2 linked regions of the Arabidopsis thaliana genome follow. The protein of the gene in region 1 interacts with the protein of each later gene in a pairwise test. Each region holds a gene or a part of one and is shown in the gene's direction. Other genes may lie near its edges. The genes, in order: SEP4 and AT5G41920.

Evidence for each region.
Region 2: the proteins of SEP4 (region 1) and AT5G41920 interact in binary tests that used the Arabidopsis thaliana proteins (3 or more experiments, as listed by UniProt).

Annotation. Positions count from the first base shown.
Region 1 is NC_003071.7:1,122,103-1,137,985, forward strand, and holds SEP4 (K-box region and MADS-box transcription factor family protein), read left to right. Parts: upstream 1-7,165; 5' UTR 7,166-7,519; coding exon 7,520-7,704; intron 7,705-8,472; coding exon 8,473-8,554; intron 8,555-8,622; coding exon 8,623-8,684; intron 8,685-8,755; coding exon 8,756-8,855; intron 8,856-8,935; coding exon 8,936-8,977; intron 8,978-9,047; coding exon 9,048-9,089; coding exon of another isoform or gene 9,090-9,140; exon of another isoform or gene 9,141-9,165; coding exon 9,166-9,338; intron 9,339-9,435; coding exon 9,436-9,526; 3' UTR 9,527-9,736; downstream 9,737-15,883. Other genes in the region: AT2G03690 (coenzyme Q biosynthesis Coq4 family protein / ubiquinone biosynthesis Coq4 family protein), read right to left, coding at 20-514, 724-909; MRH6 (Adenine nucleotide alpha hydrolases-like superfamily protein), read left to right, coding at 10,061-10,382, 10,674-10,762, 10,836-11,123; ACR5 (ACT domain repeat 5), read right to left, coding at 15,718-15,883. UniProt on the Arabidopsis thaliana protein: Probable transcription factor that binds specifically to the CArG box DNA sequence 5'-CC (A/T)6 GG-3'. Plays an important role in the determination of flower meristem identity. Involved in the specification of sepal identity.
Region 2 is NC_003076.8:16,770,073-16,785,955, forward strand, and holds AT5G41920 (GRAS family transcription factor), read left to right. Parts: upstream 1-9,570; 5' UTR 9,571-9,909; coding exon 9,910-11,127; 3' UTR 11,128-11,352; downstream 11,353-15,883. Other genes in the region: AT5G41900 (alpha/beta-Hydrolases superfamily protein), read left to right, coding at 1-219, 317-516, 1,168-1,495; AT5G41908 (uncharacterized protein), read left to right, coding at 7,211-7,366; MED10A (Mediator complex, subunit Med10), read right to left, coding at 8,088-8,159, 8,249-8,338, 8,412-8,517, 8,596-8,676, 8,749-8,960; AT5G41940 (Ypt/Rab-GAP domain of gyp1p superfamily protein), read left to right, coding at 11,967-12,184, 13,247-13,382, 13,473-13,522, 13,917-13,970, 14,188-15,379; AT5G41950 (Tetratricopeptide repeat (TPR)-like superfamily protein), read left to right, coding at 15,753-15,883. UniProt on the Arabidopsis thaliana protein: Probable transcription factor involved in plant development.

The DNA of each region.
Region 1 (15,883 bases):
ACAGATTAAACTAGAACCGTCATTTAGGATGTTGAGGAGCAGGGATGATTCCCCATTTTCTACGAACTTGCTCCAAGTCTTCACTAAAGTGACGCTCATAGTACACACACATGAGGTCAGTGCATTGTCTTCCAGCACGAACAGCCCAAGGAAGGTAATGCTTCAAGAACATTGATCTTTGCTTCTCGTTGAACCTCACAGTACCTCCAATCACAGAGAGCATACACATCGGAAGATACATTTGCTCAAACTCGATAACTTTCAAAGACGACTCGCCGATAAGATTCGTAGGAAGGCCAAACAGAGTGTGCCATAAGTCGTGAACTTCGCGTGCCCGTGTCGCTACGTAAGCCAATTCATCCGTCTCCATGAATCTTACGGGCGGACGATCATCGGGAGAGAAGTTTCTAGATCCCATGAATTTAGCATATGCAGCTCCAAATGTGTTTTCTGGTAGATCCCAAGCATGACCTACTTGCTCTGACACAACTCGAGGACGCTCCAATAATATAGCCTTCAAAGTAAAGATACCACCAAAGATCAAAACACCATTGCTTACTCAACAATATAACCAACATCAAGTAAAAATGTTAATCAATTTAACATCACTCATTGCTTACTCCAGAATTACTAAATCGAACAATTTCTAAATCAATCATTCTTAAGCAAAATCAATGATTTGATCAACAATAAGAGAGAAATTGAGTGATTTGAAAAACGTACTCTTCCTTCTTCGCTCTTCTTCATTCTCTCAAGAACCATTTCAAAAGCTGGTTTACCGGTAGTTTCGCCGAGAGCAGCGATTAGATCCGCTCTACGAGGATCAACCAACGCACCGAGAGCAGATCCCATCGCCACGGCCGCTTGTTGCCATCGGCTCAACGGAACTCGAGCTCTTTCAATAATCATCGTTCCTTGGTAGATAATCTCTCTGGTTAAAAACCAAACGGCGATTCTAAGAATCAGATTAAAGTCGGTGTGGAAGACGACGACGACGATTTTAAATCACACGCGCTTATGTCCTCGCGTGGACTTTCTTTCTGTTCTCAAGATTTGACTGAAAGTTTTTGAGAGAGATTTCAATTGGGGCCTTTAGTTTATAACTCCATTGTGGCCCATCATTTAATGTTCAAAGAAAAACCGAAAATAAATGACTGAAATATAAGAACTTGGGCCATTGGGTAAAAAAAACTGAGAGATTCCCTAGTCAAATCCAATAAGAAGAGCTTTTGGCCCATAAATATTGTAACTGATATATAGTTATATGTAGTTAATAAAATTGGCAAAAGCCTCCGGCGAGGATCGAACTCGCGGCCTTTCGCTTACGAAGCGAACGCAATACCACTATGCTACAGAGGCATTGATGCTTAATAAGTATATAATGTAATATTTTTATAAAAATTAATTTATATGTACACAAAAAACAACTGAATATTGTAATTATTTTAAAATCTTTTCTAGAGTAACCCATAGAGAGAAAGAAACAAAATTCTAGAGTACACAAAAACAACAATTTATTCTCAAATTTCAATTCTATCTACACAAGAATTCAATTCCACAAGACTAACCTATGTAAGCTAAATACCATAAAAATGGAAACCTCAAATAAAAACAAGAGAGACCAAAAACAGAATTTCATCTCAAATTTAAATTCTCAACATGTACCCGCTTTCTAAAATTTTTCAAAAAACTCACTTTGACGTTTCCCAAACGTTTGTGTTTCCGCGTATTCGCTTCCAATTTCATGCAATCCAGGTGTTAAGTGTATGTATGATAAAAAAAAATTTTTTATCAAACACTATTTATATTAAGTTATCGAAAAGAGATTTTCTGCTAGAGAGAGCCATTAAGGAACCGATGTGCTTATATGGGAGAAAAGGCTATTACGAGCCCGAGCTTTATTAGCTAAATAATCTGGTCGAATATTAGAATTATGAGGAAGAAATCTAATACGAAAAGAAGGGAAAAAACAAACTAAGGAGTGTATGTATGATAATTACCAAACGGTTATGTGTCAATTATGATTTAATCCCGCAACTTGATAGATAATAAGAAAATGATCCTCCAAAATAACAAATTGTCTGCGTCTCTGAAGTCTCAAGTCTCAACTATCAAGTATCTCAATAGTGTGTATCAAAACTTAAAAGGCAGCAGTAATATGTCAACACGTGTCAGTACAGGCACGTGATGTGAGTATGACTGTTTCGTTCAATCGCAACATATGCTAAAATTATAGTTTTTGGAACCAACGTTAGATCGACACGTAGCCTACTCTGTCCCCTTACCATCAACCTGCGTAAGCTTCCCTCATCTTACGTTCTTGATTGTTAGTTAAAAGCAAAACTAAAGATTTGAAGAGTATCTTCAATAAAGTACAATTATAAATGTTAATTAATAAAATTGAATGTTTTACGACTTTTTTGGCCAACTTCTATTCGTGTTACCTCGTATTATGAACTAGGTTAAAGTTACTTTTTCTAATACATATCTTTTAGAATTTTATACTCCATATGATTTCTATTCTCTATCTCACTCTATAGAGTAATCAAAATAATCAAGCGATTCTTCAAATTCATATAACTTAGAAATATTTGATTCGTTTTAAATGGATCTTGATATTTGATAATTAATTAATAAAAAGATTTGATAGATTATTATAACATATATTTTATATTATTGAACACAAAATGATGATGTAAATACTAAGTTAGCGTTTTTTTAATTTGGATTAAGAAACACATACGGACTGAATTAGTGTTTTCTGATATGATAATCTAACAATCATAATCTACTTACGATCATATATTATATAGGCGAACAGCAGCAATTGCATGGGTTGCATATATTATCTATATTATATATAGATTTATTTTTCAGACGGTTTAAAAGTTCTTTTTCAAACAAGAAACATCTAACATGTACTATATTTGCAAAGCCAGAAAGAGCTGTTAAATTGTGAAAGAGATTCCAATAAATACTAGACGCAGAAAGGCAGAAAAAGTTGTTACAAAATCATGTCTCAACATTTTAAAATGCCTATGGTCCATCGAGTAGTAACTAGGGTTTTAGACCATCATGGGGTCTAATTAATGTAGTTTCAATTTGTTAGTCTAATTATACGGAAGAAACCCTGCAAAATGATGTTTGTAACCTATAGCCATTTAACAAAATTTTAATATTTTGGTCTGCAAAATCATATTAAATGATAATCGTACATACAAGGGACCTCTCCCCAACAGAACAAGAGAATTGCTACTAGCTACTAGTTACCCCAAATATATACATACATAAATGAACAGAATTAATAATTGAGTTTCTGAAAATGACTATTGTTTTTTTTTCTTTCGAATTGTACTAATAAAATAGCTTCATGTGGTTCTTGCAAAACTTACCTTTTTTTTATGTCAACCACTCACATTAAATTTAAGAAAAAAAAAATTGGTTATATAAACTGGAGAACAATACTTTACAAATGAATCAACAACGTTCCTAAGTCTAAAAGTATGGATAAATCAAGAATTAATTATGAGTTTACCATTTGTGGCATTTGTAAATTTTTCATAAAATTATAAAAATACGATTAACATGTGTTTTATTCGTTATGTTTGAATTTATTAGGTTTTATGTGTTCTTATAAAGTATGTATTTTAGTATTAAAAATCGTAAATTTAATAATTTTAAATGATCAAAATAGTAAATCCGTAAAATTTTAAGAAAATGGCAAAATTCATAAATGTCACTCCAAAAAATAGTAAAAATCCTTAATAATTTCAGAAAACACTATGTTTCAGAATTGAAAAAAACGAGAAATAAAGACAAGAGAAAAAAAGATACTAAATATATCACACTAGCTCCCATGGAGGAACTTAAAATCGTGAGAAAACATTTTGAAGAAAACTTGTCACTTTCATGCAGGTTAAGTATTATCAACTCTTAGATATATATTTAGCTCATAAATAAACTGACTAGTCTACATTAAACTTTAGTATACAGAGAAAAAAGGAAGATAAATCTCGTATTTTGAAATTTTTGCATCAATCATGCATCTTAAGCCTGATATTAAGATCTGAATTCTTTCAATAGAACGATCCAATTGACATCTTATTTCTAATACATCTAGTTGAACAATAATATTATCTTCTGCAAATATGACTAACTAATACTTGAGCCTTATTCCAAATTTTTCGAAAACAGGACAATAATGTATCATAATTATTTCTTTCTAATTAAGCTTATCATATATAATTATGCATCATTTAATAACTCCTTTTTCTTAAGTGATTACTGATTAGAATGATTAATAATGTATAGACCATCTCTAGGAGTAATTTGTGGAGACGTATAGAAAAATAATTATTATGACTATTAGGTGAGTACCCACGCTATGCGTGGGTTGTTGTTTTGAAAATTGTTTAGAAAAATTATGTTTAACTATTTTTATTGTTAATTTATGTTATTTTTGTGTATGGTATTTTGTAGTTAATAAAGTTATATTCATTTTTTGTAATTATATGTGTATAGTTAGATTCACTTTTGATTCAAATATCAATTATATTCTAATCTTTTTTCACTATCATGAAATACTTACATTAACAATACATGATACAATGGTATGCAATTATGTTTACTTATTTGGTTTGAAAGTTATCTAAATTGATTCTAAGCAAAAAATTCAATCTATGTATTCTCTCCTAATCTAATATTCCAATCATAGGCTCATAGCTAAATATTGGATTGACTTGATTTGAATAACAAATGTATAACTAACTATACTCATTTGCTTTAAAAGATTTCACATGAAAGAGAAAAAAAAAAAGCAAAAATTAAATAGTATTTTAGATCAACATTTTTAGGTTTCTCTCTTTGCATTTGCATATATCTCTATTGGAGAGAGTGTCGTATATTAAATTTTTTAGTATATATAACATCTCAAAAGACCATTACTTAAAAAAATATGTATGTAATTATTAATGTTATCCATTTATCGTAAAGCACAAAAAGACCTTATCATATAGAAAAAAAAAGTAATAATAAGAAAATACTAAGTTAAAATTCTAAACTAATAAAAGTTAGCAAACAAGTAAGTTGCAATACCCGAAAATTTCTACTCGTTATCAAGTAATGACTATTAAAAAATAGCAAAATAAGAAAAGTAAAATGAAAGTAGTGTTTAATACATTAACATGATTTTTCATATTTTTTCTTTTTGATGAAGACATTTAGTTAAGAATGGGATTAATGGGTGATTCAATGCAATGTGATTTTTTTTTTTTTATCACTAAGTTTTGTTATTTTTTAATGATATTAATTTAGAATGACATGTGGCACTCATTGGTGTGATGATGTGTTACTCATATGGAGAGTGTTGGCCAACTTTCATATATATAATTTTATCAGAGATCATTTCTAAACTAGACATTTTAAAGTTGTGTATTATCTACCTAAATTATCCATATAAAAGATGGAATAGCACATTGCAAGTATTATATCGTATTTATTCTTTTTAGATGTTTCCTAAAGCATCAATCTATATGTTGCATGTTGTAAGGTCACAACTTGGAACCATAAAAGAATGGTGGAGGATAGCAAGTGCGTAGAAGATAAGGATCATTTTACATGATAATCTGGATAAGACATGCGCATATACATCAAGTTTCCATCAACAAGATTTATAGTACCCAAAAGAAAGAAAGAAAAAAACTAATATTCCATCGATCTATAGAAGTTGAACAAAATAACTAAGGTACCAAGTGAAATATGAGTCAGCAAGCAAAGTTAAAAAAAAAGTTGTGTGAGACATATCACATGAGTAAATTAACAACAACCATCATCATCATGATGTAGATAGTATAAGATGCCATGAGAAGAAGTGAGGAAAAACAAATTAACCTGACAAGAAGCATCCTAAAAAATTAACCTGTCAAACAATTACCAACCTTTAAAGTGAAAAAAAAAGTTGAAAACACTAAGGCTTTGAGAGCTTAAATGTTCATAAACAATTTTCCTTTTTCTTGCCAAGATCAATCTGCAATTTTTGTGTCAAGCATGTACGAGTTATTGTTATAAATAAATCTAGAGTCGTTATGTGAGTTCTACTGTATTTTATGAAAATCGATTAACTAGTAAAATACATCAGTCTTCTTAAGAAGAGAACCTAAACACGAAACCCTCTAATAAATGCTAGATTGCATATTCTTACACATCTATATTAGTGTCAAAAACATGATTGGACTGATTTTATAGTATTGAACAAGAACGTGACTAAATTTTCAGAAATTGGAAAGAAAACAAAAACATGATATATTTCAATATCTAAATTTCACCATATATATATAAAAAGACATAGTGCATGTGAGACGTAAAAACCTTTGTAAATAAATTTTCTCTTTAAATAGTAAATAGTACCATATCAGATTAACCATTTCAGAGTGACATAATTTGTTTGTAACCGTATAGATCCGTTTTATGCATTAAAACGATCGTGAAGTAGCTGTCATACGAAAGAACTTGTCGGCAAGAGAAGCAAAGCATAAGCAGAAAAAAACATATCTTTTAGAAGCCTATCATTTTCTTACTTTTATTCACAAACACACACAATATACATTATAAGTGTTATCTACATAATCTAAACGTGTCAATACCTGAAAAAACAACAAAACTTTATTTGCACTTCTTTCATTTCATGAACAATACATAACCAGATATTAGATAGGACTTGGACTTGTGAATATGCTCTATTTAAGGCATCTTTATAGGTTATATTTAGAATCTTTTTCTTATTTCTTTTTTGAGCATATTATTAAACTATGGACTAGATCTGATGAAAGAAAGCAATCTATTTATATATTATGGTGTAAATATTATCTTTAAAAAATCCAATGGAGGAGAGTGAAAGAGAAAAGTTGAAGCATTTTGTTTGGACTATAGAGAGAGAGAAAAAAAGATCTTAACTCTCCTTAGAAAAGTACTAGGAATCAATTTTTATTTTCTGCAAAAACAAAAGTGTAAAAGAAAATTAATAATAATATATATTCCCTGATGAAGTAAGACTAAAATAATGTAACTACACAAAAATACTTTTTAGAATTTATAATATTTTATATTAATTTTTAAAAAAGGAAAGTTGATAAGATTGGATATAAGTTTGGAAGCATTTATTTGGCCAAGAATGGCTTAGCATCTCTGCAAAACCAACACAAAGCTATATTCTCTTAAAAATCAGTTCAACAAAAGAAGAACCTGAACACAGTTGGCCCACCACCACCACTACCACAATCTCCTCCTCCACCACCACCACCTAGTCACCGGAAACCAATTCATGCCCTAGATTAAGAACCAGAATCCTTTTGAGACAAGATCTATATATACACTCTACACATTTACTTATACACTTTATCTAGATATAGATGTGTGTGTGTATAAAGGTTCTTTTTCATTACTTGTTGGTTTAGTGATAAAAAGGAGGAGAGTTTTCAGTTGGGTTTTGGTTTCTTGGTGAGAGAAGAGAGAAAAAGAGAGGATGGGAAGAGGGAAAGTTGAGCTGAAGAGGATAGAGAACAAGATCAATAGACAAGTTACTTTTGCAAAGAGAAGAAATGGTTTGCTCAAGAAGGCTTATGAGCTTTCTGTCCTTTGTGATGCTGAGATTGCTCTTCTCATTTTCTCTAACCGTGGCAAGCTCTACGAATTCTGCAGCAGCCCTAGGTGAAAACTCTTTAATCTTTGATATATCTACTTTTTCCCTCAAAGTTTCTATATTTTGATCCATGTTAGGGTTTTGATTCTTAAGGATTATAAAGGATATGAAAACTTTGTTGTCTTTCTTGATTTAGTTACAATTAATTAGTTGATTAACTACGGTTTATTTATTTTGTGAGTTCATACGCATAAATCTGGCTCGTAAAGAGTGAGATTAAGTGAACGATGATCAAAGTACGTACAAAGCGTCTAAGTTGCTCTAGATGATGATTAAAGCTAGAGAGTAGAGACTATGGCTGAAAAAAGTACAGTAGATATGTGTAGAAGCTATAGAGCATATATAAATATAGTTAAAGCTTTTACACATGAGATTGAGTGTTGTTGATATTGTTTCCAAAGGATTGATCAGAGTTTCCAAAGAGACTAAGAATTGACCTCTGGATATATACACAAAGCTGTAAAAGATATAAAAAATACTTTGACTACTTCTTTAAGTTAGTATCTCTCTCAAGTACTACTTATGATCTTATTAAAGTTATAAAGAGACAACTGTGATGATACTCAATTTCACTAGCTACTTATCATTTCCACATAAATTTATTTTATTTTTCTTGCACAAACATCATGAGATTGATACCCATTTTGATGTTCTTGATGTTTTTACATGGAGATGCTTTTAAGGTTTTTTTTCTATATTATTCTCATAATGAAATTTAAAGTTTGGTTTATCAATATATGTTAAAAGTTAAAATGATCATTTGTTTTTATGAAAAGTGGTATGGCGAGGACGGTTGATAAGTATAGAAAACATAGTTATGCAACAATGGATCCAAATCAATCAGCTAAAGACTTGCAGGTACATATCTTCTCTTTCAATCAAAGACTGACCTCAAAGTTGTCCTTAATTTTATTTTAAATTGGCAGGATAAGTATCAAGACTACTTGAAGCTTAAATCAAGAGTTGAGATCCTTCAACATTCACAAAGGTACTTATATATCCTAGTCCATCTAAATGTAACTATATATGCTCTTGTTACTAAATGTTTCTTCTTTTTAGGCATTTGCTAGGTGAAGAGCTATCCGAGATGGATGTGAATGAGCTTGAGCATCTCGAACGCCAAGTAGATGCATCACTAAGACAAATAAGATCTACCAAGGTATATTTCTAAGCTTACAAAATCGACAAATTTTGTTTCGAATCTTTCATCCTAAATCGTTGTTTCGTTTTCATTGCCAGGCTCGGTCTATGCTTGATCAACTATCTGACCTCAAAACTAAGGTACATACTTTATATAATAAAAGTTGCACAATATCCAAATACAACAAGCTCTCATTTTCTCAATTTACAGGAGGAAATGTTATTGGAAACCAATAGAGATCTTAGGAGAAAGGTAGCTATCGGAATCTTTTACCGCAAGAAACTGAAACCATTTGTCATTTGAAATCTTCCTATTCTTTCTTTCTCAGTTGGAGGACAGTGATGCAGCACTTACTCAATCGTTTTGGGGAAGTTCTGCTGCAGAACAACAACAACAACATCAACAACAGCAACAAGGCATGAGCTCTTATCAATCAAACCCTCCAATTCAGGAAGCAGGTTTCTTCAAGCCTCTACAAGGCAATGTAGCATTGCAAATGAGGTATCTACAAACAAATAGTCAAGACCCTTGAATTATTTTACCTAATCAGAAATACTTAACATTTGTTTGTGCTTCTTTATTGTTTTGATATAATTAGCAGTCATTACAATCACAATCCTGCAAATGCAACCAACTCTGCAACAACATCACAGAATGTTAATGGATTCTTCCCTGGATGGATGGTCTGAAAACAATACATATCTATATATGTACACATATGTGTGTTTTATAGATCAAAGATCATTGCTTGTGTCATTTGATTTTTGCCAGAGAAACATAGTTCATTATTACAAAACTTTGTTATATAATCAAGGCTCTAATGTCAAACACCAGATTATTACTTTTTTGTTCTTTGTTTTTTGGCTCTCTTGAAATATAAAATATTGTTTTGGGAGCTTATTTTTGTTTTATTTTTGAACATCATATGAATTTGTTAGATTATGACAAAAGTTCTCCGGATTAGAACATGTCTCAAGAATTGGATTCTGAAACAAGTAGTGCTCTGCATTTGTATTAAGATTGTGATGTTGATAATTAAAACGACTAAATAATTTTTGCCAGGTTGGATTATAATGAACAAGTCCAAAATGTTATTTTAATTTTATTTTCATGGCAAGCACGTTCAAGAAATGGCTCCAACCAAAAACCAAACAAACATAACAGTATTTAAAACACAACTAAAACCTCAAAGAACAGAGAGAAGAAAAACAAGAATTAAGAAAATGGGGAAACCAGCAGGGTATTGGGTAAATAAGATTAGGACATCATTCAAAGGAGGATCATCGTCGAGCAAATCATTAGATGAAGGAAGTACTTCGGGTTCGAGAAAGAACGGTTCGAAGCATAGTAAGAATCTGAAAGCAGAGGATGCTAATAAGAATGGTGAAGGAGGAGGAGTTCAAGCTGAGAGTGGGAGGAAAGTGATGGTTGTTGTGGACACAACTTCACAAACTAAGAATGCTCTTCAATGGGCTTTAACACATTGTGTTCAAGATGAAGATAATATCACTCTTCTCCATGTCACAAGAACACCCGTAGGACAAGGTATATTACTCATATGTTGCATTTACTAGAACCTTTAATATAGAGGTAAAACCATTAGAGCCAAAACTCGAAACCTTGTTATATATCTTGCCTAGAAAACAGGGTGAAGACCGCTTCTTTTGGGTTTTTAGGCGAATCAGACCTTAGATTTGGTTTTGGGCTTTTTTGGGCCCAATGTTGTTTTCTGTGTGGTAGATTTGGTTTTGATTTGAGTATGGACAGGACTATAGCATATTTGACATCTATACCTTATTGAGTCGCTATTAACTAATGTGATCATTGTGTTAATAGCTATAGATGAGACACAAAGGGAGAGAAACTCAAGGGCTCATGAACTAGTTCATCCATTGAAGAATTTTTGTCAACTCAAGAAACCTAACGTAAGCTTTAAGCAACAGCAAACTGATATTGATTCAAAAGTTCTCCTTTGTTGACATTAAGGTTTATTTTCAGGTCAAAACGGAGATAGTGGTGGTTGAAACGGCGGAGGAGAAAGGTAAGACGATAGTGGAGGAATCAAAGAAACAAGGAGCAGGCGTTTTGGTGTTAGGGCAGAGAAAGAGAACCTCGAAGTGGCGCGTGATTTGGAAATGGCGTACGAAGGGAGGAATGGGAGGAGGAGTGGTCGAGTATTGTATTCATAACTCCGATTGTATGGCTATTGCCGTAAGGAAGAAGAGTAACAATGGAGGTTACTTGATCACCACGAAACGTCACAAAGATTTCTGGCTCTTGGCTTAATTTTTATTTCAAACAAATTCATCCCAAAATCTTTTTTTTTTTTTTTTTGTAATCGAAACGAATCTTTTTAAAGAATTCATGTTTTATGGATTAATTGATAATCTGTATTCGTTATAAGACCTTTTCTTATATATGTAAAGACTTCATATTTGTCAATGTTTGTTATTGTGTTCTACCTCAAAGTATAATAGAATAGTAACATTAAGCAAAGCTTTATCAAAAAGAGAGAAATAGTATAAGCAGAGAAAGAAGTCACATAGAGCAACATTATTTCATAAAGTAATATTATTACTTCAACATATAACGGTCATACCCTCCGATATCTCCTCCTCCATTCCCGACTTGAAACCGGTAAACACATGCTTTGGTGACGGCTCCGACGGTAACGACTGTAGTTGTAACGGCGGTTATTGTGAAACTGAGGTTGATACCTATTAGAGTGAGGACAAACAGGACAGTAATAGTTAGGAGACCCATATGATTTGCTTTATCTCTTTTGTTCTTCTACATATTACTATCATAAGCAGAATTATAAGTTATATTTAGTTGTCTTGTATGGGAATAATAGAAGTTACGTTATTGGAACAAAAAATAAGGGGAGGTCAAGATTTGAATGGCTGATTTATTGAAACGCCAGTTCAATTTCCTAGGACGTGACCAAGACTAGAGAATTTATTAATGTAATGTAATTGCATGTTCCCTTCGAAACAACGTTTCGGGTTACTAAGCAAACTTTTAGATATAGACGTCTTGGGAATTTGAATGCTTTTGTTCATAATCAATGAACGACAAAGGATAGTTTGTACTAAGTTAAACCGTTCTGACTTCTCGTAGTGATATATTCAACGGAATATTGTGGTTAGTGCGAACTCATCCGTCAGTAGTCCAATCCATACTATTTTTGGGATGGACAATAAAGCGATGCAGACTTAGTTTAAAGACCGTCTGCAGTTAGTCCGCAACAGTTTTCTTTTATTTTTGGGGGTCCGCATCATTACGGACTATAATTTGTGAATGATAAATAAAAAGCGATCCAATGTATAGACGCTTTTGTCCGCTTAGACAACTGTAAACATTGATATATTCTCTAACTTGTCAGTAGTTTATTCTCTAAAGCCTACATTAATATATATGCCTATTATATAACCTGTAAGTAGTTAAAATAGAATAAATTTTAATTTCACTAATCTCCTAATAATAGGCTAATACACTAATCATTTATTTTTGTAATGTTATTTTTCTGGCAGAGTAAACGAGAAAAAAAAAAAGATAGAGAATGGAGATACACTAATCAAGGTTGAGAAACTATTAATCACTTTAGTATAAGGAAAATAAATCATAACTTTAAGTTGATAAACTTAAAATTTTAACTATTAAAATTTTGGTGCAGCACAAATTAATTAAGCAGTTAAATCGTATTACATAAATTATTTAAAGAGAGTATTTAAAAATAGACCAATATAAATAGGAAATATACTCTAGTGAGCCCAAAAGATGACTAGTTAGTAAGTACAATGCTTTAAGTTATGTTGAAATAATATGTGAATTAATCTTTAATGTTATATATATGGTTTTCTTCTTGATAAAATCATAAGAATAAAACGCTGAAGACATCGTCTAGCCCACAATTGGGTAGACCAAATTCTACTCGATATTGTCAAGATCTAATTTGCAACCAACTCTTCATGCGATACAAATTTTGCTATTACGTTCCTTTTGCATGTACCATTCTTAATTTTAAGTAATGTTTTGTAAGTAAATATTTTTGTTGAACAATTAAATTCATATCTCGAATAGATATCACATGAATATAATAAAAGGCGGACAACTCCGTTGTCAAGTGGATGCTTCTTGGGTAGCAGATGGTAACACATCCGGTCTCGGATTCGTGATCGATACTCCATCAGGAATCTTACTCGGTTCTAGAGGTAAGTCAAGAGCTCTATCCCCCCTTCAGGCTGAACTGGAGGCTCTCACTTGGGCTATGGACTCTGCGTTACATAGAGGTCTTGACTCGGTACACTTTGACACGGATTGCTCGAAGTTGGTGAAAATTATTGAAGAAGAAGATCCGGGACCAATCTTTGAAACAGAAATTGAGTTCTTTAATCTTATCCGTAATCGTTTTTAGATGTTTTTCGATCTCACACTTTTCTAGAACTTTGAATATCCGAACCGATACCCTTGCAAAAGGTGCCCGTTCTCGTGATCTTATCTTCTCCCATGTAAGTTATGAGGTTCCGGAGTGGTTGGTTTTCGCTACCAACTTTTTCGAACCAAACTAATAACATATGGAGTTCTTTTGTGTCAAAAAAAAAAAAAAGAATATAATAAAAGGCCATCAACTTGAAATAGGAATTTTGACTATGAATTTTATCTTCATCATAAACCTCATTACCATTATCAGCATATATCACTATCTTCCTCTTGTCCCATATAGTTTCAAATTGTATAACTTATCATCTAAAATTGGAATCGAGTCTATATTTTTGGTTTGATTGATTGCTCGTTTTACTTAAGTTTCGTGTTTTTTTTGTTGGCCATTCGTCATTTTCAAATTATAATTTAATAATTTAGAATAAGTGACTATTGAACAACAAAACAAGCAAAATAGATAAAGTTTTTATATAACATAACAACAATCATAACGTAACATGGTACATTTGACATATCAAATGAAACCTAGCTACATTGTTATTATTCTTATTACTCAATCATAAAAAAGAAACCTGTGGTAATATTAATCCCACATACTCAAATATTCATTTGTTACGCAGATTTCGAAAATAACCTTTCGGGTTGCTTTCGAAAACTTCCCTGAAAATTCGCCCATCCTTTCCTGGTGCCTTCATGGTCTTCTTGTGGAGGCCCGAACTCATTCCGGAGAATAAACCGGCAATAGCTCCGACGACACCTATGACCGCCATGGCTGTTCCAAGATATGATGACGTGTCTTGTTTCTGGTTATTGTTACGGTCGTTGTCGCTCATTTTGATATACTGATGAGTGACGATTATCAAGATTCTAAGATTTTAGCTTCTTCTTTTTTTAATCTTTCGAGTGTAAGGTCATGTGATTTTTATAGCTGTAGTTGTGATGCCAAACGATTTATTAGATGAATTAAACTCTTTGCTCAATTTACAAGGAGGAAATCTTGATTACGATTTTGTATTAGAATTTATTGCAACAGTTCGGAAACGGTTGGGATTTTCTAGGGAAGAATGTGAATATACATAAACTTCATCGGGAATTTAAGAAATTTACCGTACCTGATCTCTATTAATATCTCCAAAGGTCTTAGAAAAAAAAAAATTCTCCAAAGGTTATATATACGATACAAAAAAAATACGAGAAATTTGTCTTTTTTTTTATAATGGTGGTAGGATGATGATAGTATGACGATAATGATGATGATGTGATAATGATGTTATGATTATGTGGACGCCGATATAATTGATACGTGCATGTCAAATGTCAACTAGCTAGGAATCTAGGAATCTAGGATAGTCCAAATTTGATATGAATGATCAAATTAAGATTTGGTCTGCCTCGTTCTTTTGTGCCTCTTCTGGTTTGTAATCTGGTTACAAAGGGTCTAGCTTGTGTTTGCCCCAAAAAAGAAGGGACCTAGCTTAGCTTGTGTTTGCAACTTTGCATGTGCATATATATTTTATGTATACTCTTAGAAACTAAATTCACAACTACACATGTAACGTCGTTAGATATGGTAATTATATATTTTTTCAAAAAAATCATTTAATTAAACGTAGGTGTTTGGAACAATTGAAACTCTATTTTTCATTATTTATTTATAAAATTTATTAGCAACTTCCACTTTTTTTATTTTATTTTTGTCTCTTATCTGGTTTTCTACTTTGTTTGGGTCAGTCCTTTCATATATATATTTTTTTTTGTCTTTTGGTATTTGTCGGGGCTGCTGGAACATTATTTTATAACAAAACGAGAGAATTATCAATTTAGCCGTCCAAAATTATATGTAAATGATCGTGATGAGGGCAATACATATCACAACAAACAATTTTAAATTGAACTTTTGTTTTAAAATAAGAAAGTTCGTGGGTGCAAGTTTTTCTTAATTTGATTTTCATAAACCATAATAAAAAAATAAAGAAAGTTATGGATACAACGAGTGACACGTGGCAAAAGTCATACTCAAAGGTGTGGCACACCAATCAACAAGGATCATGACCCAATATTTGTTATGACTTTATGCCAAAGTTATCATTATTATATATGCCATCACTCATATTATTATGAGCAATTCCAAAAAATCTATCACATTTTGAAATAGATGTTTCAACAGGACCATGTCAAATGAAATCTAATGAGATTTACCAAACCAGCGATTATAGAAAACGATCGAAAGTGATTGGTAACAAACAATAAATCAAGAAGAATCCATTTTATATACAACCACAAATATAAAAAACCAACATTTACTTACTACACAAGAATCTATACTATAGAACCCTGTAAAAATGAATCTAAACTTTACTTTCCTAAAAGCTTTATCTACATATTCACACAATGTACTATGGTTATTTACAAATAGAGGTAACACCTCTTTCAAGTTTTAAGATCTTATCAACCCGAAATTGACGAAAGATCTCGACTTGAAAACCCCGAAAAGAAACCCTGTTGGTGAATCTTGAGGACTCGGTTTCGCGTCTGTGTTTCCGCCTTTCACTTGAAGTATCGTCTGACCGATGACTTGTCTAATGGATTCTATGGTCTTGGTA
Region 2 (15,883 bases), on another chromosome or scaffold:
TTCATCGCAGTCGATCTTTTGGGCTATGGAAGAAGTCCTAAGCCAAATGACTCATTATATACTTTAAGAGAACATTTGGAGATGATTGAGAAATCGGTGATCTCTAAGTTCAAGCTCAAAACGTTCCACATAGTAGCTCATTCCCTAGGCTGCATTTTGGCTCTTGCACTCGCAGTAAAACATCCGGGAGCTATCAAATCCCTTACTCTTTTGGCTCCTGTAAGTCAATTATACATACCCTCTACGAATCGATACTCGAGGAATAATAAGCTTCCGACTTAATGCTAATTGACAATAAGTGGTTATAATATGGCAGCCATATTACAAGGTGCCAAAGGGAGTCCAACCAGCGCAATACGTGATGAGGGAAGTGGCTCGGAAGGAAGTTTGGCCACCGATGCAGTTTGGTGCATCGGTGCTTAGCTGGTATGAGCACCTAGGCCGCACCATTGGCCTTGTCCTTATCAAGAACCATCAATTGATTGAATTTGTCACCCGCCTCCTTACCCTAAACAGGTACATATATTTTTTTTCATAGCAAGGTTTTTTATATGTCATAAATGGAAACCTAAATAAACTTGCTCTTAATCACGTTTCAATTTATTTAGAATAGATTTTATTTTCTTTTCTGGTGATAAACTCTAGAAGTTTCGGGTCTTTGGAAACTAGAATAAGCAACATCTAGAACAGAGAAGTTACGTCCACAATATTTGGATAACTAGAATAAGCAAAATCAACCCAAATATTACAGTGCATGCTGTTCGTCCGTTCGGAGAACAACGAAATGTGTAAAAGTCTATACGTTTAATGAACCAACCACTCGTCTTCTTCAATACCTTGAAGTTGACTCGGAATGGTTATATTTAATGAACCTACAACTTTTTTTTCTTTATGTAAATAATCTTTGATTGGTACACTATAGTGGTTCTTACATAAATTATGTGATACCATATTAGGAATTAATAGACGAGTTATGCAATCTAATAGCTTTATGTAGTAGAAAAAGTTGCCTTGAAACATAGAAAGCGACTTATAACGACCGTGTCTCCTCCATTATTTGGCCCCATTCAATTCCATTTTGTCGTTTCATATCTTAATAAGTATATGTATAACTTTTAACTATTTATACGCCATATAAATTAATTTATTTTCTTTCTATGTATGCAGGATGCGAACGTATTTGATAGAAGGATTCTTATGTCACACACATAATGGATCATTTCACACATTACACAACATCATCTTCGGGTCAGGAGCCAAGCTCGACTCGTATCTCGACCATGTCCGTGACCATGTGGACTGCGACGTCGCCATTTTCCACGGTGGCAAGGACGAGCTCATTCCTGTGGAGTGTAGTTACAGTGTGAAGAGCAAAGTGCCACGTGCCACTGTCCACGTCATCCCTGACAAAGACCACATCACCATTGTCGTCGGCCGACAAAAAGACTTTGCACGAGAGCTTGAGCTCATTTGGCAAAGAACCAAATCAACTTAAGTGAATATATTTTATAGTGATGAAACTCTTTTTTTCTTTTTTCTGTTTCTATTAAGTATATATTTTTCTTATTACAAAAGTTAGATAGATATCGTTTTCTATTCAATGAAGATTTTGTTTTAGTTTCCCAAAGAAAAAAATGTCAAGCCTCTAATTTTATTTTTCTTTTTATAAAAGAAAATTAGAGTATACGTGTATTGATTTTTTTTTTTTTTTTTTTTTTTCACATACGTGTATTGCTCTTGAGAGCCACTTCCGGTTATACAAAGAGTTTATGTGATTGTAATCGAATACTTTAATGTTTGTCGGTGTTAGAAAAAAATCGGTGATTAATGGTCTTTATTTGTTTTCCAGTCAGATTCATCATTCAAGTAATGTTTGTTTAAACGGCTTTTGTGCATTTTGGTATATTTTGTTTAAGAGTTTCTAAGAAACTTAACGAACATATATAACCTTTTCCAAAAATAAAATAGGTATAATTTGCTTATATATATTCAACTAATATCTTGTTTTTATTTTCCCTCATCAAAAAGAAAAAATTTAAGACTCTGTTTTTTTTTTTTTTTGAAAAGAATGTAGCAGCCTCTCTTAGACCACTGAAAATATTCGATCCTTTAAACCAAACAAAAAAGATATATATGAAGTGGTTGTGTGTTATCGAATAGTCTAATATTTGTCGATGTTAGACCAAATTCGGTGACTAATTAAGAGAATAACATGAATATTCGAAGTTGTTTTTTTTTCTTAATAAGATTTGAGTGCAACATGTGAAAGAGCGACTCATAATATTACAATGTTCGATAATTAACCAAGTGGTAAGATTTAGTTTCGGTCCTAGTAATCAGTTTTAAGAACCGTTTGTCAATAGATGTACTTTTTATATTTGTCATAATCATCTCATATCCATGGATTAGAAAATTAGTTAATTTAGAAAGAAAAAATATTAAAATACAAATTAAAAGAAGAAATACAAAAGAAATGATTTTCGACAAGAGAGGGAATTAAATGAAATGGGCCGACCATAACCATATTCTATGATGGTGAAATAAGACGTGGGCTTAGTTTACTTCTCAAGTAGTCTCTATCAGTCTATAGTTCGACTATGACTCTGTGTGAGCCTATTGAATGCATTCACGAAGAAAAATACCTTCACGATTACAAGTAATACCATATGTACTGTCAGAATACACGTTGATCAAAAATAAAATTTCAAAAACTATATAGTTTATATATAATTATTGATAAAAATAAGTGTTGCGGTAAAGTTTTATTAGGTATGGTCGGTAATGAAATCCGTATGAAACTTTCCGATGGCTTAGCTTCCGTATCAACATCAAATACACGAAAGTGCCTAAGGAACCTATCAAGAATACATGTTTCGGTAGCGTGTCAGCTCAGTCGAAAAACCACTGACCACCCAAGCCAAGCTCTAACAATGGTATCCAAAACTCAACATATATTTTGTCAATTTGAGGATTGGGAGAAATTATTTAGGTCACGATACCTAGTCGTTGAAAGTCAACTTACTAGTTCGAATTCTGAAACGAAAAAAATATATATTTTGATTTGAACTTCATATGATTCGTGTAAATCACCACATGAGTGTCCTAAATAACTTTACCTCATATTCTTGTTATAAAATTTTTATTTACTCTTCAACAAACGATTCCTCGAAAGATAGCTGCACCAATCCTCGGAAGATACCGGAAACGCGTAACTGTTACATAACGATAGTGAAAATCTTGCAAAATAGCTTATCGATTCCAAAATGCCTCAACATGGTAGGACAAATTAACGTGAAGGGTGTTGTGGATTTTGGTGTCCTTGAAAATGTACATATATCTGTTTTGTATTTCTTGAAGATGCTTTATAATGAATAGCATGTACAAGTTTTGTGAATGTGTTTGAATATTTCTTTGTATTAAAAGATATTTCATATAAATTTGTTTCATATATGATGGTGTTATGCCTAGTATAGGCGAAGTAACCAATGATTATAGTTACCATTAGTTATGATTGTTCGAGTGGCATTTTATATATAGCATTCCTATCTACTTAGATAAATGATAAACTACAATATTAAAGTGTTTGTGATGTCATTTGAAATGGATTTTGAAATTAAAACTTAGAAAAGTGATATCGGAGCATGGTTGGATCATGTGCTCATATAAGTGGAAAAAAAATCAAATGTTGTTCGAGTCAAGATGGGTTACAAACATATCAAAATGCAGATTTTTTTTTTCTTAGGTTCTATTGGATGTTGCCTAAAGATCATTGCGGGGTTGCCAACATAATTCTTAACACACCTACACTAACTTACTTTCTTTCAACTACCCCCTGCGCAACATCTTGGTATTTTTAGTATTAGCCAAATTAAGAATGGCAGTAGCTAGTGGTTCACCAAACTTATGTGTTTTGTCTTTGTTTTTGTCTTCTTTAGCCCGGACCACATTCAATTATTTTTTTTACCACATTTATAAGCATCAATGTTCCTTCAATGGCTTCAAAGAACGTATCAAATACATTGGGAGTTTGAGACATATATCTGGAACAACATAGTACATCTGTATTTTTCCTCAAAAATATGGGGACTAGAAATTTTTGAAAGTAAACTAAGCTATATATCTATAAATTAAAAGAAAGACGATAGAGAGATGCTAGGTAGATAAATGTTTTGAAATAAAACAATAAAGAAAGTGTAGTTGGTTTAAAAACTTAAGCATATATCTTTTCAAGATCGAATGTTATTCCACATTATCCCATTGTATTCACTTGCATGAATAAACACTCGTCGCATCTTAAGGCATATATATATACACATAAGAATTAAATTAATTAATATGCAAAAAAAAAGAGAGAGACAATTAAAGATAATATGAATGGTATATATAGTTTCACCCAAAAAAACATGAATGATGTATAGTGACAAAAACATAACAAATGTACTTGTTACATTAATTATATATAACCGGTGTTGGACAAATGTAAAAACATAACTGAAAGTGTGTTTTAAATAAGATAAATAGTACTACAAGTTAAACATGCAACTATATTTATAAAAGTTAGAAAGATCAAAACGGTTTTTACAAAGTTATCTAGAACAATCATATGAATAAGTTTTTTTTTTTACTTCATCTTTTTTCTTTTCGCTGTAAAGACACATTCGAAACTTTATAGAGTGAGTGAAATAGGATTGATTCTGTAGTTTCACCTTTGTGAATCATACGTTTCCAAAGATATAAAGTAAAAATGCAACAAGAAGAGAATTCACTCAAATTCTATTAAAAGTAATTTTTTGTAAGCATCACCTAAAGCAAAGCATCTGCTTCTCTCTTTTTTTTTTTTTTTTCCTGCAAGCATCTGCTTCTCTTATCCCATTCCACTTGTCCTTCTTTATTCTTCTAATTCTTTCCACTTACATAAATTCAGGTTTTTTGAAACAATAGATAAGTAAATATATAAGGAAATGAAACAAGAAACAACCAAAAATAAAATAATTTAATAATATATTTACGAAAAAGCTGACAAATAAGACTTTATTGAGTATATACATCGATCTTGAATTACGTTTTAACTAGTTTTTCTGTGATTTTGAGCATAATATACATCAAAACTCGGTTTGCTAAGTTTATGAATATTTGTTCTCCGTACATATACATGATACACAAAGTAAGAATCTGCTCTTGTTTTCTTCTAGCTATAAAATTAATTCCGAAGTCAACTATCAACCTCAAACTTGTGTAATTAACCTATACAACCAATTCATCACTTGAGATTAAAAAAGTTCGTAGCAAAACCAAACAAAGTAATCCATTACCATCCATAGAAATTGAAGTTGCTTGAACTTCAAAGAAACAAAGCTAAACCAATTACCACAAAAAGAGAAGATGAATGAAACCAAATCTAACCTGGAGATAGTTTACTCAAAGAAGGAAAGATCGAAGCGATATAATTGAGGGGAATGAAGCCTGGTCCGACGTCATTAACCGTAAAATGATCATTCATGTATAGACTAATGAATAAAGAAGAGACATATATATATAATCAAATATAGATCTAAGTTAAGGGCCTCGTGCCAGACAACATTCCCCTCAAAAGGAAAAGCTTCACTGAAGAACATGGACTCCATATAAGAAAACCCTAGCTTTTAACAGAGAGAGAGAGAGAGATGAGCTTAATTTATAAAGAAATAAAAGCTGAAAGAGGAGGAGACAAGAAAGCAATGATGAAAAGAAGAGAGGGAGGATATTATTAGGAAAAGATTGTGGAAATGTAGGGGGTAAAAAAAACAAAAGCTTAATAAAAAGGCAATTCGAAAAAGATAGAAAAGTCGAAAAGAACAAACATATATTAAAGTCATAATGATAAAAACAATTTGATGACTTATTTCCACCTCTTTTTTTAGTTCATCTTTGAATCTAATAATAATGATTTCACATGTAAATCCGTGAGTCGTCAATATTCTAGCTCTTGGAATAAAATGAACGTAAAACTATCTCGTGTTTTTTTTTTAAAGGAGTCAACTATTTTTTCTTGAATATATTTGATTTTGAATGATTACTAACTAAAACCTTAAAAGTCTATAGTCGTCGGATCGTTTTTATTATAATGACCAAAATTAAGTCAAGGTGTCTAATGAGAAAGTCAAAAGATTAGTTGAGAAAGGACCCAATATAGGTAAATGAATGAAAGATAAAAAAGAAAGAAGAGTGGTGAATTATTAGAACATGATTAGGTTTGGATTTGACGAAGATGTCATTAGAGAGAGAGAGAGAGAAGTGTCTTCACCGTCCTCATTTACTTCATGTGACAATCACATGCCTCCCATCTCTCCCTTACCCACACATACAATAAAGATACTTTCAAATACATAATTTTAAATTAGTATTTGACAAATACACAAATATTCTACATAGGTACAATACATAATAACTAGTAAGAAAGACCGACATTTTTTTTTTTATGAATGAAAATTATTCAGCCAAAGACTACATTTACAAATTACAATTACATGCAACTTTTTGCCAAAGTTTAAAGAGAAGATCAAAGTAAAAACAGATTGAGGTTTAGTTGGTTCGAATGTGTTTTCGTTGATACTTACGTATTTCGGTATCAAGAACACGATTACTAAAACAAATTTTGAAAGCAATGTTAAATACTTTAGAAGGAGTTACGTTTTTGATTTATGAGTATTCTTTCATCTAATATTGCAAAACAAATTCGTTTAACGAAGTCATAGAAAAATTATTTAAAATTGATATACAATAATCTTTTATCTATTTAGGTAATATTCGGAAAATTTTAGATCGAAACTCATACATCTTTTTATCGGAATATCAACTTCGCAACCTTTAGAAAATCCTATGAAACACAAATCTTTAAAAAGTCATAGAAAGCTACCATTAGACCAAAACCACTTGGTTATAGGTTTCTACTTTCTACCACTAAGATATGTAACATTATTACTCTTTGATCATATTCACTAATCATTTCGATTGTCATAACATATATCACCAAAACTCATTTGCGTTTTTAAGTTTTTAATGGAACAGAGGCACACCAAACTCATTTGTGTTTCGAAGTTTTTGCTGTTCATGTTGGAGGTAGACTCAAAGTTCTTCAGGACTTAGCTCACTAGCTGACTCTGCATCCCCAAAAGGTCGCTGTATGGTTTCAGAATAGACGAGCCAGGTCCAACACCAAGCATTACGTTGGATGCCGGTTACGAGTCTCTTGAGCCTCCTCCCTATGGACAGAACCGCGTCCTTCATCTTTCTTTACAACAGCTCACATGGTGTCACTGAAAACTGGTTTTCTGCAGCTGCAGGAGAACCAAGTATTGATATGGAGACTATAAAAGCAGAGCCATAGTGTCTGATTAAACGAAGCAGAGCCATAGTATCTGATTAAACTACAAATCTGTATGATCCCTTGGTAGTTGAAATAGTAAAAGCGTGAAGGAAGTGATCAAAGACATTTATCAAAATGTGTTTGTAAGAATGGTTGAGAAAAGGAAATATATCTTTGAGAGCATGGTTTTCGGTGATGAGAACTATTGGAAATAGTAACACAATGCTTAAACACACAGACCATCAATATATAAATACCACCCTCTAGTTGGAGAGTGGTCAAACAGAAGCCAATCTAAACACGATGCTTGTGTAGTTAACATTACTACAGCTAAAGATAATGAGAAGCTTCCTTTAACCAGAGATAAGACAAAAATTGAAATTGCAACCAACTCAATGCAAAGCCATATCACTTCTTCTTTCGGCAAGAAGATTATCTTATACAGAACCAAGATTAATCGTCCTAGTAAAAAGCAAATCTTATGTCTCTGATAGGAATCTATCACATACTAGGTACAAAACCCATCGATAGAACTAAGAGACTAGTCTATTTGTAACCTATGAGTGACTATTTAACAGCCTCATGAGTCATGACCTCAGAAAGCTAAGGAGAAATTCTCAAACTATATTAGTCAAGTGCAAAAGAACCAACGGATGTTATAGAAATTCCAAGAAGGCTTGTTCGTTTACATCCTCATTGATCTACTTGAAAATTTTATTCTAAAAGGCAAGATTCATAGCTCTTATAGCTCACTCTTGACCTTAGCATCCCCATTTGGTAACACACTTTGCGTTTGAGCCAACCGTTTTGCTTCCTGAATTCAAATGAAAATAAATTTATCACCTTGACTAACTATTGTAGAAACTATCTCAGATGAGAAACAAAGGAACGTCAACAACTTACAGCAGCATAACTAGCACGTATGTCTCTATACCGATCGACTTCATCAGGAAAAGCCTGTTCAAGCTCCTCCAAGAGATGTTTTCTCAAACCCTGTACCAAACAATGTCGACTTTAAAATCATGAGTGGCCAAATTGAGAGAACCAGTAGAGCAAAAGGAGTCACCTTAAAAGCATCACTCTTTCCCTTTGTAACTTGATTTTTAGCAATGCAGTTCTTATTAAGAACATCTTTTGTAAACTCATCTGGGTTCTTCCCATCATCAATCAAGCTACAACAAACAAAGATATATAAACATAAGAGAGCAACAAAAATTCTCTAAAGAGTCTAAAAAGGGACTTGTTCTCACTTAAGAACCTCAATGGGGACTTGAATGTTGCATTTATCAGACAACTTAGCCATATTATCAAGCTCCATCACAAGAGAATTGCTGCAGATAGAGACAAAATTTCAATCACACAATACTCAAAACAATGGATCAATAGAGAAGAAGAAAAGTTACAGGCGTTGGAGGAGGTGAAGCTGAGAAGCAGGTGTGAAAGAAGAGACGGTGAGTTTTAATTGATGAAGGAGTTCTAAAATTTTCTGATTCGAGTTTATAATTTGGTTCAGCTTCTCATTTGAATCGTCGACGGTTGCAATTGCATTGATTTCGGTTTTTATCGAACCGTTGATTTCACCAATTCCGGCGATTGTGTTCTGTGTTTGATCCATCACCGAATAACTAGAAACGCGATTAAAACACACACAAATTAGGGTTTTGAATCACGGAAACATAGAGGTTGAGGGAAACAATTTATGTAGAGATCAATTCCAATTGACACAACTGGATGAAATTTCTGGGAACGATGAAACCCTAGGACCACCGACGAAGAAGAAGAAGAAGAAGAAGAAGTTCAGAGAGCGTACATGGATGGATTTGAGAAGAAGATCACAGGCGCAAAGTCAAAGTGGTCAAAAGAAAATTAACAATCGAGTTTTGAATTTGTTGTAGTCATTAATGGGCCTTTGGGCTTTTATATGGTTTTCAATGGAGTTAAGTCATGTCCATTTACGGTTACTTAAACTAATGGGTCTATTGTTTTGAACTTTTGATTTTAAAAGGTGGAGATGGTTCTGAATCTCTCTGGTTAAGTATCAATCCATGAGACCTTTTTTTTTTTTTTTTGAATGAATGTGTGAAATTATATTCAACTAAAACAACTGTTTTACAAATCAAATTCAACTAAAACAACTGACAAATTAAATCTCTCTGGTTAAGTGGTACATTTTTAATGTCTCTAGTCTCTACACATAAACGATTAACATGAGAGTTCACCAAATCTTTTCCAATTGGGTTTGTTCACTTGGTTTCGTTGGTTTTAATCTTCACAAATAAAAAAATGGTTTTAAGTAAATAGAAAGAAAAAAGAAAAGAAAAAAAGAGTAATCGAAGGAGCTGTAATCTTCACAAAGAGCACTTGATTATAACATTGAATCTTTTGCAAAAAAGATAAAAATCTTTTCAAGAAACTGATCCATCCAAAATACTATCTTGTCTTCACTCTTCAAAATTCCTGTCATTACTCTCTCGAACCCTTTCTCTTTTCGAATCTCCACTTTTTTTTCTATCTTCTGCTTCTTCTTCTTCTCTCTTCAATGATTCCACTCTCACAAAATCTCCATGACTACAAAACGCATAGACAGAGATCTCCCATCTTCCGACGATCCTTCCTCCGCTAAACGCCGTATCGAATTCCCCGAAGAAACACTCGAAAACGACGGTGCTGCCGCAATCAAACTCCTTAGCTTACTCCTCCAATGCGCCGAATACGTAGCTACTGATCATCTCCGTGAAGCTTCAACACTTTTATCCGAAATCTCCGAGATATGTTCTCCGTTCGGTTCCTCGCCGGAGCGAGTCGTCGCTTACTTCGCTCAAGCGCTACAAACGCGCGTGATCAGCTCTTACCTCTCCGGCGCGTGTTCTCCCCTCTCCGAGAAACCACTCACTGTTGTTCAGTCTCAGAAAATCTTCTCCGCCTTGCAGACTTATAACTCCGTTAGTCCTCTGATCAAATTCTCACATTTCACGGCGAATCAAGCCATTTTTCAGGCGCTTGACGGAGAAGATTCCGTTCATATCATCGATCTCGATGTTATGCAAGGTCTTCAATGGCCGGCTCTATTTCACATCCTCGCTTCACGTCCTCGAAAACTCCGATCAATTCGAATCACCGGATTTGGTTCCTCCTCCGATCTACTCGCTTCAACTGGCCGGAGACTCGCCGATTTCGCATCATCGTTAAACCTCCCTTTCGAATTTCATCCAATTGAAGGCATAATCGGAAACCTAATCGATCCGAGCCAACTCGCAACGAGACAAGGAGAAGCTGTGGTGGTTCATTGGATGCAGCACCGGTTATATGATGTTACAGGGAACAATCTCGAGACGTTGGAGATTCTACGGAGGCTGAAACCGAATCTGATCACGGTGGTGGAGCAAGAATTGAGCTACGACGATGGAGGAAGCTTTTTAGGAAGATTCGTGGAGGCTTTGCATTATTATAGCGCGTTGTTTGACGCGCTAGGAGATGGATTGGGTGAAGAGAGTGGTGAGAGATTCACGGTGGAGCAGATTGTTTTGGGGACGGAGATAAGAAACATTGTGGCGCACGGAGGAGGAAGAAGGAAGAGAATGAAGTGGAAAGAAGAACTGAGCCGGGTCGGGTTTAGACCTGTTTCGCTTCGGGGTAACCCGGCGACACAAGCGGGTTTATTGTTGGGTATGTTACCGTGGAATGGATATACTTTGGTTGAAGAGAATGGAACCCTCCGTCTTGGCTGGAAGGATCTCTCGCTTTTGACTGCCTCTGCCTGGAAATCTCAGCCGTTCGATTGATTTTATTTTTATTTTATAATGCAAACTGCAAAGTGATCATTAAGATTTTTTGTTTTGAAAATATTTCCAAACAAATTACGATAATTACGATAAAAAAAAGTCTTCATTGACGCAAAAAGTTGTTGATATTGAGAATGAGAAGGTTGTTGATACTAAAAATGAGAAGGTTCATGTTAGATAACTATATGCATAAGAGAGGTTCTTGTTAGATAACTATATGCATAAGAGAGGTTCATGTTAAATAACTCAATAAGCATAAGAGGTTATGACTATACACATATCTGTTAATAAAGTCAGCTACAACAAATAGAAGGTCTAATATCATAGACGATACCACCATGAAAAATCATCATTTCTCATAGTATTCATGAAAAACATCAAGTGGAATTTTTATGAGACCATCAACTTCTTACATTTAGTGAAACTGGTTTTTAATTTGTTCCTTCAATTCTTAAATCAAATCTAGAATTCATACAACTTGAGATTCTTAGAAAATTCAGGATACTTGTCTCTTTTTTCTTCTTTTTTTGTACAATTTTAAAAGAAAGATGTAGTGCAAAAGCCAAAAATCGAAAACAAAAACCAAAAACTAACAAAATAAAAATAAAATGACAACCATTCTTTTTTTTGGGGGGGGGGGGGGAGGAGGGGAGGGGGGGAAAGAAGAAAGAATGACCCAACTGTATGAAGGCCCATTAAAAAAGTGGGCCCAATTTCTATAAACGACCTTCGACTTTTTCAATAATCAATTTTCATCCAATTCAACTCAGGAAATTGCTATGATTTTACTCTGAGAATCAGAAGAAGAAATCTCGGTGAGCAAAATCCCTAGTTTTGGGATGATGTTTCCACGACTACGATTGACGAAGGTCTTCTTCTCCCCGATCATCGCCGGGAAATGGATCGTCTTTGCCGACGGTAGCAGCGGCGGCGGCGTTGGTAGAAATGGCTACTACGGTGGATTGTGGTCGTCGGCCGTTATTCCTTCCAATGTTGGTTTAGCTGTCGCTGTCACCGTCATGGCCGTGGCCGTCGCTTTCACCGTCTACTCTCGTAGGTATACACACAAAAACGATCTGATTTATGTTCTAATCGATTTCTTCAAAGCAAAGAAGCAATGCTTGTTCACTACTTAGTTAAGTAGTTATTTGGTATCCATAGATTTGATTGGTTCTTGCTTCTTTGTTACCTCACCAATTCGAGGCTGGATCGTCATGCCTTTAGGTTCGAAGAATTCTCTGTTAGTTAGGTTATTGTGATTGAGTTCTTGGTCCAATGTTAGCTGCTAACTCGTACTTCCACTACCTCTTCTTGTCATGGAACTTGTAAGACTCTCAGGCTGAACATAGTCCTGGCCATATTCTGTATTCATAGACTCTGATGCGTATAATGATTTTGAGGCTCGAAGCACTAAGGCTTTTTATAGTATAATGAGGGAAAATGTAACCAATGTTTAATGTTTACTTTTAGGTTGTTTGCTGGGTTGTCTCTTTTTGTATGACATGCTCTCTTGGTTAGTATTGAACAAACAAAGTGATTCTAGAAGGGTCCTTAGGTGGAAGTCTGAAACTTCATGAACTTTGTATAAACTCCTAAAGGAACTCTCGATAATCAACTCCCCAAGCTTTGTATTTGTGTTTCTTCTTTTGCAATTTTGTCAGATACATAAGCTTTTTGTTGCTAAATCTCTTATCATCGAATTCAGAAATCTGTTTTTGTTGTTATAACTCTTTCTACAACCCAAGCAATGAAGCTATTTTGTTTAAGTTCTGCATCATAAATATGCATACCATGAAGAGTTGGATCGAATAATTGCAGCCTGATATGATCTTTTGTCTTCTGGTCCTTATTCTAATTCTTGGCATCTCTTGGACTGTTTCTGTATGTAGTGATGAAGTGGTTAAGAGTCTTAGGTCTTCTGATGTGTGATAGAACTCCATTGATACTTTCAATTATTTTTAACATATATGAATATAGGACATAACATGTACCATTTAGCCTGTCTTATTTGTTCAAAGAAAGCTTTTTATCACTACATTTGGTTTGGTTTTATGTAATTTTTTTTCTTTCTAAACTTACTGGACGAAGTTGCTCATTTTCTGCTCATCTACTTCTTCAGAGGAAGCATTGGATCACCGTGGTCACTAAGGAGAAGAAAGCGAGTTCTTCAACCTAAACAATGGAATGCTTTTTTCACAGAGGAAGGGCGACTCAGTGATGGAGGTGTCAAATTTCTGAAGAAAGTTCGTAGTGGGGTATGTTGCTAAATAAGAAAAAAATCTGCTGTAATCTGCAGTTGATAACCTTTTGACACTTTGATATACTAATTTTTATTTTTGTTTCAGGGTGTACATCCAAGCATCAGACCAGAAGTTTGGCCGTTCCTTCTTGGAGTGTAAGAATCAGCATCTTGTCACTTTTCCTTGTTTTTTGTATACTTTTATGAGTTTTATCTTTTTCGGCTACCATTGGGGGTTTTCTGTTCGGCCTTATGTTCATACTCATGCATGGTCTATTGATATTAGCTTTTTCTTTGGGGATATTGATGTTATGTAGGTTTAAGGTTGAATAAACAGTGCATCAGTAAAGCATTCATTAACTAGGAGATCAGAGAGTTGCCTTAATGTTTTTCTATCAAGAGATTTATAAGATTAGTCCTAGTTTCGCCATACCAAACTCCACCAGCCGTCGCCCTACATTCCATTAACTTGATAATGAAACCTGTGCAAGTTATTTGTAGTCTTTATCATCTCGACACATTGTAACCTTATGCTACTTACCTCTCACAGGTATGACTTAAAGAGCAACAAAGAAGAAAGAGACTCCATTCGACAGCTGAAACTGTATGTTTGCTTATACTTATTGAGAGTTTAATGGCTTCTCAACTTTCTACCAAATGTTACGTTTCCCATTTATCTCTGTTCTCCTAGGTGGCAGCTGGTTATTAACTTGCTCAATGTGTTGATAAAACTAGGAATAAGAAGTAGTAGTTTGGAACTCCTACACTGAGATTTCGAGTCAGTTTGTAAGTAACGTCTTTTATATCTGTAAATCCTGCAGGACGGAATATGAAAACCTGCGGAGACAGTGTCGCGAGATTCATGAACGCTATGAAAATGTCTGCGACTCAAAGGAGACAGCTCAGAGCAGCAACACTGAAGACAGTCAGGTTCTTGAATCCCATGATATTGAGGAAGTCGAGAGTTCCACAAGAACCATCACCGTAGATGAATCAGAGAAGTTGAATTCTGAATCGATTATGCAGGATGAGAACTGTGAAAAGAGCGATGTCACCACAGAAGATGCTGCTGGTAATGATTCAGACTCAACCAATCCTGAAGAAACCGAGACTTCACCTTTTCTAGCTAACGAAGAAGTAGAAAGCCACAATACTGTTAACCAAGAAAAAGAAATTTCGTCTCCATCATCAAAGCCAAAATCTCAGGCAGCGGACGAGGATTTCATGTCAACTTGGCAGAGAATTATCCGCCTAGATGCTGTGAGAGCAAATGACGAATGGGTGCCCTACTCACCAACTCAAGCTGCTGTTTCTGAGACAAAAGCCCGGGGAATAGCCATTCAGGTTGGTCTCAATGACTATGACCACTTGGAACCCTGCCGGATATTTCACGCAGCCCGCCTGGTCGGGATCCTTGAAGCCTACGCAGTCTATGATCCAGAAATTGGTTACTGTCAAGGAATGAGCGACTTACTATCTCCTTTAATCGCAGTGATGGAAGACGACGTCTTAGCATTCTGGTGCTTTGTTGGCTTCATGAGTAAAGCACGGCATAATTTCCGGTTAGACGAGGTTGGAATCAGGCGGCAACTCTCAATGGTATCGAAAATCATAAAATTCAAAGACATTCACTTGTACCGACACTTGGAGAACCTTGAAGCAGAAGACTGCTTCTTTGTATACCGTATGGTTGTAGTTCTGTTCAGACGAGAACTAACCTTTGAGCAGACGTTGTGTCTCTGGGAAGTAATGTGGGCGGATCAAGCTGCAATACGAACTGGGATTGCGAAGGCGACATGGGGGAGAATCCGGTTACGAGCACCACCGACAGAAGATTTGTTGCTTTACGCGATAGCTGCAAGCGTGCTGCAGAGGAGGAAGACGATAATAGAGAAATACAGTGGGATGGATGAGATAATGAAGGAATGTAACAGCATGGCTGGTCATCTTGATGTTTGGAAACTTCTAGACGATGCTCATGACTTAGTCGTCAATCTTCACGACAAGATCTAAGACTACTTATATCTTTCACTCTTGTTCTCTCTCTTTACTTGTTTGTTGCATTCTTTGTTATTTGTTACATAAAATGTGATAAAAACCGTTGTCCTAAAACGCATGAAAATGTCTTCACTATTGCTAAAATTAAATGTAGAAAAACTTAGCCAAACGAGAACCCGCTGAGGCTAAAAGAAGGACTTGACTTTATTTGGTTTTAAGAGCCTCTGGTTGAGCTAGAGGTGTATAACTGTAACAAACTAACTATTCTTCGTTTTCAATTTCCAGATACATCAGATCTCTTCTTCATCTTCTTCCTCTTGGGAGACTTGATTTATTTTGTGATCAGTCTCGGATTGTAACATACTGCGATCTTTTTTCAGCTTCTCTAATGGCGGATACTGTTGAAGAGCCTCAATTACAAAATGGAGCGGCACCAGCTGAGTCCGAAACCGAGCAAAATCCGATTCCGGAACCACAACTCCAAACTGAGCCCAAACTAACCGGAGAAATTCCGGAAAT